2 linked regions of the Rattus norvegicus genome follow. The protein of the gene in region 1 interacts with the protein of each later gene in a pairwise test. Links are inferred from orthologs where the notes say so. Each region holds a gene or a part of one and is shown in the gene's direction. Other genes may lie near its edges.

What was found. The genes of interacting proteins can lie anywhere in the genome.
Region 2: the proteins of Ushbp1 (region 1) and Txlnb interact in binary tests that used the Homo sapiens proteins (3 or more experiments, as listed by UniProt). The two-hybrid records come from large-scale screens. The link is inferred for Rattus norvegicus from reciprocal best matches to the Homo sapiens genes USHBP1 and TXLNB.

What each region holds. Positions count from the first base shown.
Region 1 is NC_086034.1:18,098,949-18,103,362, reverse strand, and holds the start of Ushbp1 (harmonin-binding protein USHBP1), read left to right. Parts: upstream 1-1,495; 5' UTR 1,496-1,586; intron 1,587-1,831; 5' UTR 1,832-1,903; coding exon 1,904-1,957; intron 1,958-2,169; coding exon 2,170-2,291; intron 2,292-2,486; coding exon 2,487-2,922; intron 2,923-4,414.
Region 2 is NC_086019.1:14,227,631-14,231,281, forward strand, and holds part of Txlnb (beta-taxilin), read left to right. Parts: 5' UTR 1-6; coding exon 7-439; intron 440-3,651. UniProt on the Homo sapiens protein: Promotes motor nerve regeneration. May be involved in intracellular vesicle traffic.

The sequences.
Region 1 (4,414 bases):
GGGCATGAGCCCCTTACAGCACAGGAGTTCTGAAGGCTGCAGAATGCTCCCATAAGACACTGTGTCCAGGAACCACCCTCAGGTGAAGTAACAGCTTGTTCGTTTTCCTTTTTGTTTGTGACAGCTTCATGTGGCCCAGGCTGGACTCTAACTCTAGAGCTATATGGTTTATCCACTGTAGAAGCTTCCCAAAGCTCCTTTTCCCCTGAAGCGGCGCCGGTCAGGTTCCCGGGGAAACACAGGAAACCCAAATAGCCGACCAACCTTGCAAAGGATGCGCCTTTCTCGGGGTAGCGTCTCGGGACTTCAAGCTTCCCCCCCCCCCAAGTTCTCAAGCAGAACGAACCTGAAGCTGCAGCAAGCCGAGTCGAAGTTAGACCGCGGCGACACAAAGTTCGCGCGCGTTCACACCGCCGCAGGTTCCACTGCCTGGGTACCGGGGCCAGTCAATCAGGTCTCTAGGAAGCCGCCATCTTCCTTACCGGAAGTGCTACCTTCTGGGAAATGTAGTTCAGTGGCCTTCAGGACGTGGAAGCTGATAGGCTGAGGCGTTCTAGGGGTGTAGCTTGGAGTGTAACGGGCTGGAATGGGGCTGAAGAGGGAGGGGTAGTATTGAGAGTGGGTGTGACCCGTGGTGAACTGAAGCAAAACTGAGAGGAATTTGTAGTTCGGGCTTAATCACACTAAGGTTCTCAAGGCCTCTGCTGTGATAGGACAAGAGATTGAGCTGGGCGGGGCCGTTTGATGATTGACGGGGTAGGAATTGGCTTGGACTTGCCTAGGGCCCTCTCAGTTACTTATGTGACTTGGGCTGGTATTCATTCACTAGTTCCGCGATGCGAGCTGGTGGTGCACACCTGTCATCCCAACACTCCAGAGGCCCGAAGACGAAGATCGGGTGTTTAGACAGCCTGGACTATATGAGACGCTGTGTGAAAACCAAATGGAAAGAAAAAGTAAAGAAGCCACTGTGGACAAGCTCACTGTCGCCGGTGACTCCAACGGCCTGATGCAGTAGTTCAGTCTCGTTGAAGAGAAACCTTGTGGGCTACTGAACAGGTGCAGGCTCTTGCCGCCAATCCTGACGACCTGAGTTCGATCTCGGAGACAAGCAGTACCATCACAGACAAAGATAAATAATGAAAAATAAAAGCTATGCAAGTGCTGGAGCCAACTCTCTTAGTTTTGTTTTTAGAGACACAAAATAAAATTTTAAAAAGACCTTCACATTAGAGCGAGCCCTGATGAACAGGGGGACACAGAAAATCCAAAATAAAAATGGAGGCACTACATGTTTGGGCTGGGATAAGGGGATACTGATATCTTGGAGTGGGACAAAGGTCCTGGTCCTCCATCCTCTTCCTGTTCTGGAGGAAGCTGGCATCCTGGAGAAGGAAACAAAACAATAACTGTCCATGTGATCAGGGTAGGGAGCTTCCTGTTTCTCAGCCTCTCCCAGGCCACCTTTGGCCATTGCAGCCTCAGTAGCCAGTGGCCAGAATGGCCTGAGATATTCTTAGGAGTTCAGACCTTTCCCAAGGTGCCCTGGAGAAGAAGAGAAGAGGGCCGCAGGGCCAATCCCCAGGGTGAGGGAGTTTGGTACTAAGAGAGTCGTGGGAAGAAGGAGAAATCTTAGGATACCACTCAATGCCTCCATAGGGAAGAGAGGGGGCACAGATAAGAGAAATGAATTCAGACAGCGGAGGGAAAAGGAATGCCCGGTAGAGATGGGTGACGGGGAGGAGGAGACAAGTAAACAGTGGGCACTATTGGAGAGGTATTTAAATATTTAAATGTGTCAATCAGTTCAAACGAACCAAAACTCCTACAGGAAAAAACAAAAAACAAGGATACCAAGGTAACAAAAGGCAAGAACTGAGAGCAGGCTGTAGTGACAAGAGTAATGAGTGCCCGGGCCACACGACCCCGAAGCCGGCGAGGGAGGCATCCTCTGCCTGTAAGTGTGCCCCTCTTCCTGCCACACCCAGCCCATGGATCCTGGGAACCCAGGTCTGCTTGGCTCAGAACCTGTTGTGGTACAGGGGAGACCTCCACAGGGAGAGCTGGATGTGATGACCAAGAGCCCGTGTGTGTGTGTGTGTGTGTGTGTGTGTGTGTGTGTGTGTGTGTGTGTACGCACCCGCACATGCACGGGAGTGTCATTCACAGGGGGAGCTGGACCCAGTAGCTGAGAGCTCAGAGGAGGTAGATACCACCAATGGGAGCTTCGAGACTAAACCTGAGCTGCTTCAGGAACATCTTGGTCCTAGCCTGCAGGGCCCTGGGAACCGGTAGGATGCCGGGGCCCATACTCAACTGCCTCCAGCTGCTCACCTGCCATAGCTTCCCCTGCCCGCTTCTCTCCTCTTCCTTTTTACCCTCCAGCCATGAAGCTCAGTCCCTGCTCAGCCTTCCTAGGGACCCTGGGGTCAGCCCTCCGCCTCTGCTGAGTCTCAGGTGGCTAGGGTTCCTGATTATCCTCACAGGATCAAGGAGGATTGTGATGTGGGATCCCATGGGGTCCTACCCTTGAGCCCGGAAGAACGGCGCGAGCCTGAGGTGGAAGCCCACCAGGCCCTGCAAGAAGCCCCTCTGGATACTGGCCCTGCTGAGATAACAGCACCCAATGTGTATGAGACCTTGAAGTGCAGGCTGAGCTCCCTGGAGGCAGTTGTAGCTGCCTGGCGCCGCCACTCGCTAAGCTTTTCAAAGCCAGTGGAGGCAGAAGACAGAGACCCGGGAGCTCCGGGGTCTTTTGGTAATGAGGAAGAAGCCTCTGGACCTGGACAGCAGGAGGCAGCGCACTTCATAGAGAGGAACGCCTGGCTCCGGCTGGCCCTGGGCACCCGGGAGGAGGAACTGGCGCGGACTCAGGCTTCACTGCAGGACGCCCAGGCAGAGAATGAGACTCTGCAGAGACAGGTGAGCTGGTGACTGGGAAAGAGGCAGATCCTGCTTTGAGAGTAGACACTGACGTGGGTGGAGCAGTGGCAGATGTGCCAAGGAAGTGACCAATAAAGACAGCGCGGTGAGAGGGGGAGCAAGGGAGACCGGCAGTCTGCACCCCACGATCTTAACACGCAGGAAGCTCAAGAGGGACAATCTCTACTCTGGCGAGCCCTGGCTAAGACCAACGTTCTTCTCAGCTGTAGACTGAGTCCAAGGTTAGCCTGGGTTACAGACCCTGTCTGTGTCAGTTGCACCGCAGACAGACAGACAGACAGACAGACAGACAGACACAAATCTTATCTTGGGGGTGGTGTTTTTTTCCAATTCAAGGTTTCTCTGTGTAACAGAGCCCTGGCTGTCCTGAACTTACTTTGTAGACCAGAATGGCCTCGAAATCACAGAGATCCCCCTGCCTCTGCTTCCCTAGTGCTGGGATTAAAGGTGTGAGCTATGCCAGATTTGTTTTAAGGTTTCTATTGCTGTAATAAAACACCACAATCAAAAGCAATTGGGGAGGAAGAGATTTATTTCATCTTAAAATTCTCAGGCCTCACTCTGTCACTGAGGGAAGCTCAGGCAGGAACTTGAAGGCAGAGGTTATGGAGGTGTGCTGCTTACTGGCTTGCTCTCCATGCCTTGCTCAACCTGCTTTCTTATCTCAGCCTGCCCAGGGATGGCACTACACACAATGGGCTGGCCCCTCCCTCCCCATCAATCGTCAGTCAGGAAAATGTCCACAGGTCCAATTGGGGGAGCATTTTCTCAATTGTGGTCCCTCTTCCAGAATGACTCTAGCTGAAGTCAAGTTCACACGAACCAGCACAACTCCTGAGATCACTGTAGCTGGAACTGAGTGGGAGAGGTGAAGGCACGTGGGGGAAGGTCACAGTACGCAGGGTGCTGAAGGCTGGGCAGGATTTACAACTGTGTTCTTGTGTGTGGTGGGTTCTGAGGGGAACCCTGCTGCAGGTGTTCACTTGCGCCATCTGATGCCTGTGAGAGGAACAGTCTGGCGGTGGACCATAATCCTGAAGGTGGAGGAGGGGCGACAGCAGTGGCTCGGGGCGTTTAGTAGAGGTGACCAAAAAACCTACAGATTATGGGTGACGTTAAACCCAGATGTGATAGGACAAGCCTGTAATGATAAGGACTTCAAAGGCTGAGATGAGAAGATCATAATTTAGTACTAGCTTTGAAAAGATAGGCAATCGTCTCAAAACAGAACAGAGCCCTAGCTGGTTCTGCTAAGAATCCTCGTCAGCCTGTGGGCGTGGCTCAGGGTAGAGTGACAGCGTAGAATACTCCAATGAGGGGCTAGGGGCGTGGCTCAGCGCTTAGCTTTCAGAGGCTTCTCACAATAACAAAAATGAGTTCTCCTGAGTGTGGTGGTGCACACTTGAAATCCCAGCTGCTTGCGAGGCTGAGGTGGGAGACGGCTTGAGTTGGGGCAGTATAAATGACTCCG
Region 2 (3,651 bases), on another chromosome or scaffold:
TCCCATATGGAGACTAATCATCCTGATCAGCTCTCAGTAGAACAGCCAAATCCCCCAGGGGATAGCTCTCCACTCAATCAAAACGTCCCAGGAAAACAAGATGTTCAACAGTCCTCAACCTCAGGCCAAGCAGCAGAGCAAGAGGCAAGCCCGCATCCTGAGAAGGGAGACCACGATATCTCTGAAGAGCTGAGCCGACAACTGGAAGACATTATAAACATGTACGGGTCTGCTGCCAGTCCCACAGGAAAAGAGGGCACCTCCGAAACTAAGGAGCAGCCCCAAAACACAGAGGCACCGGACAATGAGGATGGCGACTATGAGGAAACCACTGAAGAGACAGACAGAGAACCCACTGCTCCTGAAGAGCCTGCCACAGTCAAAGGGCCTGTCAGTAATAAAGAGCAAAAGCTGGAAAAGAAAATCCTGAAAGGATTAGGTAAGTATTATGTTCTAATATAGGACTTTTCTCTTAAATTATTTCATTGGCTTTAACATCAGAAAAAGACAGTGTTTGGTTTCAGACCCCAGGGGACAAGGGATCAAGGTGCATATTTTACATACCAAAGTAGACCTGGCCCCCATGCCCCTGAACTTTCCAGCCCAAGGACTGGGCTGCCCTTCACTCCATACTCTTCCCTGTCTCTTCTTCCCTATATAATTCAGACATGTTTTTGTTCGCTCTGTCTCTCTCTGTATCCCTCTCCTTCTCCCCCTCCCTTCCCCTCCCCCTCCTCCTCCCCCTCTCCCCCTCTTGCTCTCTCTCCTCCCCACCCCCCCAAGCAGGCCATTTCTCTTTCTCTTCCTTCCCCTCTCCCGCATGACCACGCCCCCCGACCTCTATCCTTGGAGCCTATAAACTGGCCTGGGAGCAGATTCCCCATAAACCCGCCTCTAAAATACTCTCATCTGGTTTGAATCGGCTCCTTCCGCTGGCAGAGAAATAACCTATCAGCCACATAAATGGATTTGGTTTAATTTCAAATCCTCCTTTTGGGATTCCCTACATTTTCCATTGCTGTGTTTTTCTCTAGCCCATCCCCTTTCGTATTACCGAAGTGAAGATTTTCCACGCATGCCAATCTACTCCACGCACGTGGCTACCCATCGATCTTAGAATTCTAACCCAAAATTCTTAAGATAATCTTTTGTTCTTGCGGTCTAACCCTGACCGGCTTAACCTTGATCTCATCTCCACTGTATTCCCTGTATCTCTTTTCTTTACCAATCCATCCCTGACGCCACCATGACCGAAGTCATTCTCACGCCACCACGACCGAAGTCATTCTCATCTTCTCTTTTAGTTCTTTGAACTTCCGTGCTCCGTTCTCCAAAGGCCTGAGCACACTGTACCCTAAGCGTCTGCCCGTTTCCCACGGCCACCCTTCCAGCCCTTTGAGCATAGAACTTCTAGCTGCCATTTAACTCATAGCCTAATGGCATTTTCTTAGTCACATCCTAACGTTGCAATCCCCTTGGGGTTTGCATTATGCCACGAGTCATTCTTTAGTAACAAGCATTTCAAGTCATACATTTCGGGAGAGAGTATTTAGTTAATGAAGCTAATTCCCAATTGGATTATTTTTCAATCTCAAGAACACTGTGTGTGTGTGTTTTGGACATCATCGGATGCCTATAATATTTAAGATAGGAGATGATAAATTAAAGACTCAATAGTAATTTGCTGAAAGAATGAAGCAATGGGATATTTAAAGCAAACTTAGTTAATAAGCAAAATATAATAAATAGGGACAAATTTATTGATAAAATAATTGTTAATTAGATCACTTATTGTAAAATATTTTTTTATTAAGGATAGGTCACAAAAAACAAACAATAATAATAATAACAACAACAACCATGGTTACGTCTGCCAAGAACTGTGCTCATCTACCATTAATTTCATGACTGGTTAGTGCCTGGTTAATGCCTGGTTACGAGGCACTGTGTTGTGAGAACAAAAAGAAGAGATGACACAGGTTAAGGGGCTCTTGGTACAGAGAGAAAAGCAAACACAGGAACCATTACTCAGCAGAAACACACAGAGGAGGAAATGGTTTTGAAGAACATGGGGTTTGATAGCACCAACAGTAACTGTGGATGGAGGGAAAGAATGCTAATTTTGCACCCCTCTCGTCCTATGACTGAAAACACACTACTACACACAGGACAGCCCTCCCAGTCTGTCCCCACTGGTGACCAACAGCAGAGAACTCACTTCAAAGACGACTTCCCACATGAGACTTGGTTGGTTTCTCTCTTCTCCCTTACGTTTTCTTCAGCTTCTGTGATAGATGGGTAATTTCTTGAGGGTAGTAACCACGTCTCATTCACTTGTGTGGTGTGATAGAACGAAATACCAAGGACGATGTATGAGAACTACGCTCATACCCGAGTAACAGATTTCTTATCTGTAAACCCAAGTAAACTACACTTGAGTAGGGTACTACTATGTACATAAAATGCATTATGAAAAGGTTTCAGGAAGTGTTCATTGATACCTTCTACTAATACAACAGACCCCCACCCCCCACAACATAAAGGTCACAACAGTATTTAATATATTTTCATATCCCAACAACACAAGGTTGAATCATTCTAGAACACCGGGAGGCATAATAATGTCCCTCTGTGTTACAGAGAAAATTTTTCTTTTCTCTTCTCCAATCAAATCGTCCTAGATGTGCCCCTTAGCTCTGTCGTGTTAAAGATCCAGAATGTTTCCAAACCACTGTTTATATCATCCTAAGCCATTTATATAGGCACCTCAGTGTATGTGTTATACTGAGGGACAGAGTATGAAGGAAATAGGAGAAAATTAAAGAAAATAGGAGAAACCATTTGGAGCTTTATACTCTCTCCTGTGAGTTGTTTTTATAAATCCGTATAATACTTACAATTACCAAATCATTAGGACAGTTTTTTCAGGATGAGAAAGCAATCAGACTTTTTTTCTCCTGCTACTCTCCAAAAATTACCCAGCTCCAACCCAGTGTGTTTGGCTAGAATTTCTGTTTGTGCATCAGAGGCCCTCTTCAGGCGTGTGTGGGCCAGTGGCCTTTCTGTGCCATCCCTCTCAGTGTCATCAACGTGTTCTCCTACACACAGTATCGCCTCAGCTACACTCATAACAGCATTTTCAGGCAAGCCTACCCATAAACCACGTTAGTTACCTATAAGCAGCTTTAGGAAACTCCTTGGCTCCTTGTTAATTAAATCGCACTGCAATTTCGTTTACAAACTTAACCGTGTGTTTAACTCAGATTCAAAACTTACCAAAACTCTACAATGCACAGAGATTCAGAACTGGTATACATTACCTCAGGCCAAGGCACTATGCTAGTTTAGCAGAAAGCAAATTGTGGAAGAAAAGGGTGCTAATGGCTTTGGAAACTGTTCCTTTTGACCTTAGAGTAATAAAGTTCTGACTGTGGGCTTCCCCGGGCAGAAGGAGGTTACCAGATGAGATAAGGCTCTGCCTGTAGATGCCTATAACTGTCTCCTCATGAAAGAAAGCTTTTCATAGGCAGCCCTAACTGCAGAGGTCTGCCATTTCTCTGAGTAATTATACTAAATATCCCAAGAAAGAGGCTTGTTGTGGGTTAAGTTATTGACCATCATTGACTACAGGTAAGTTTCTATATATACACC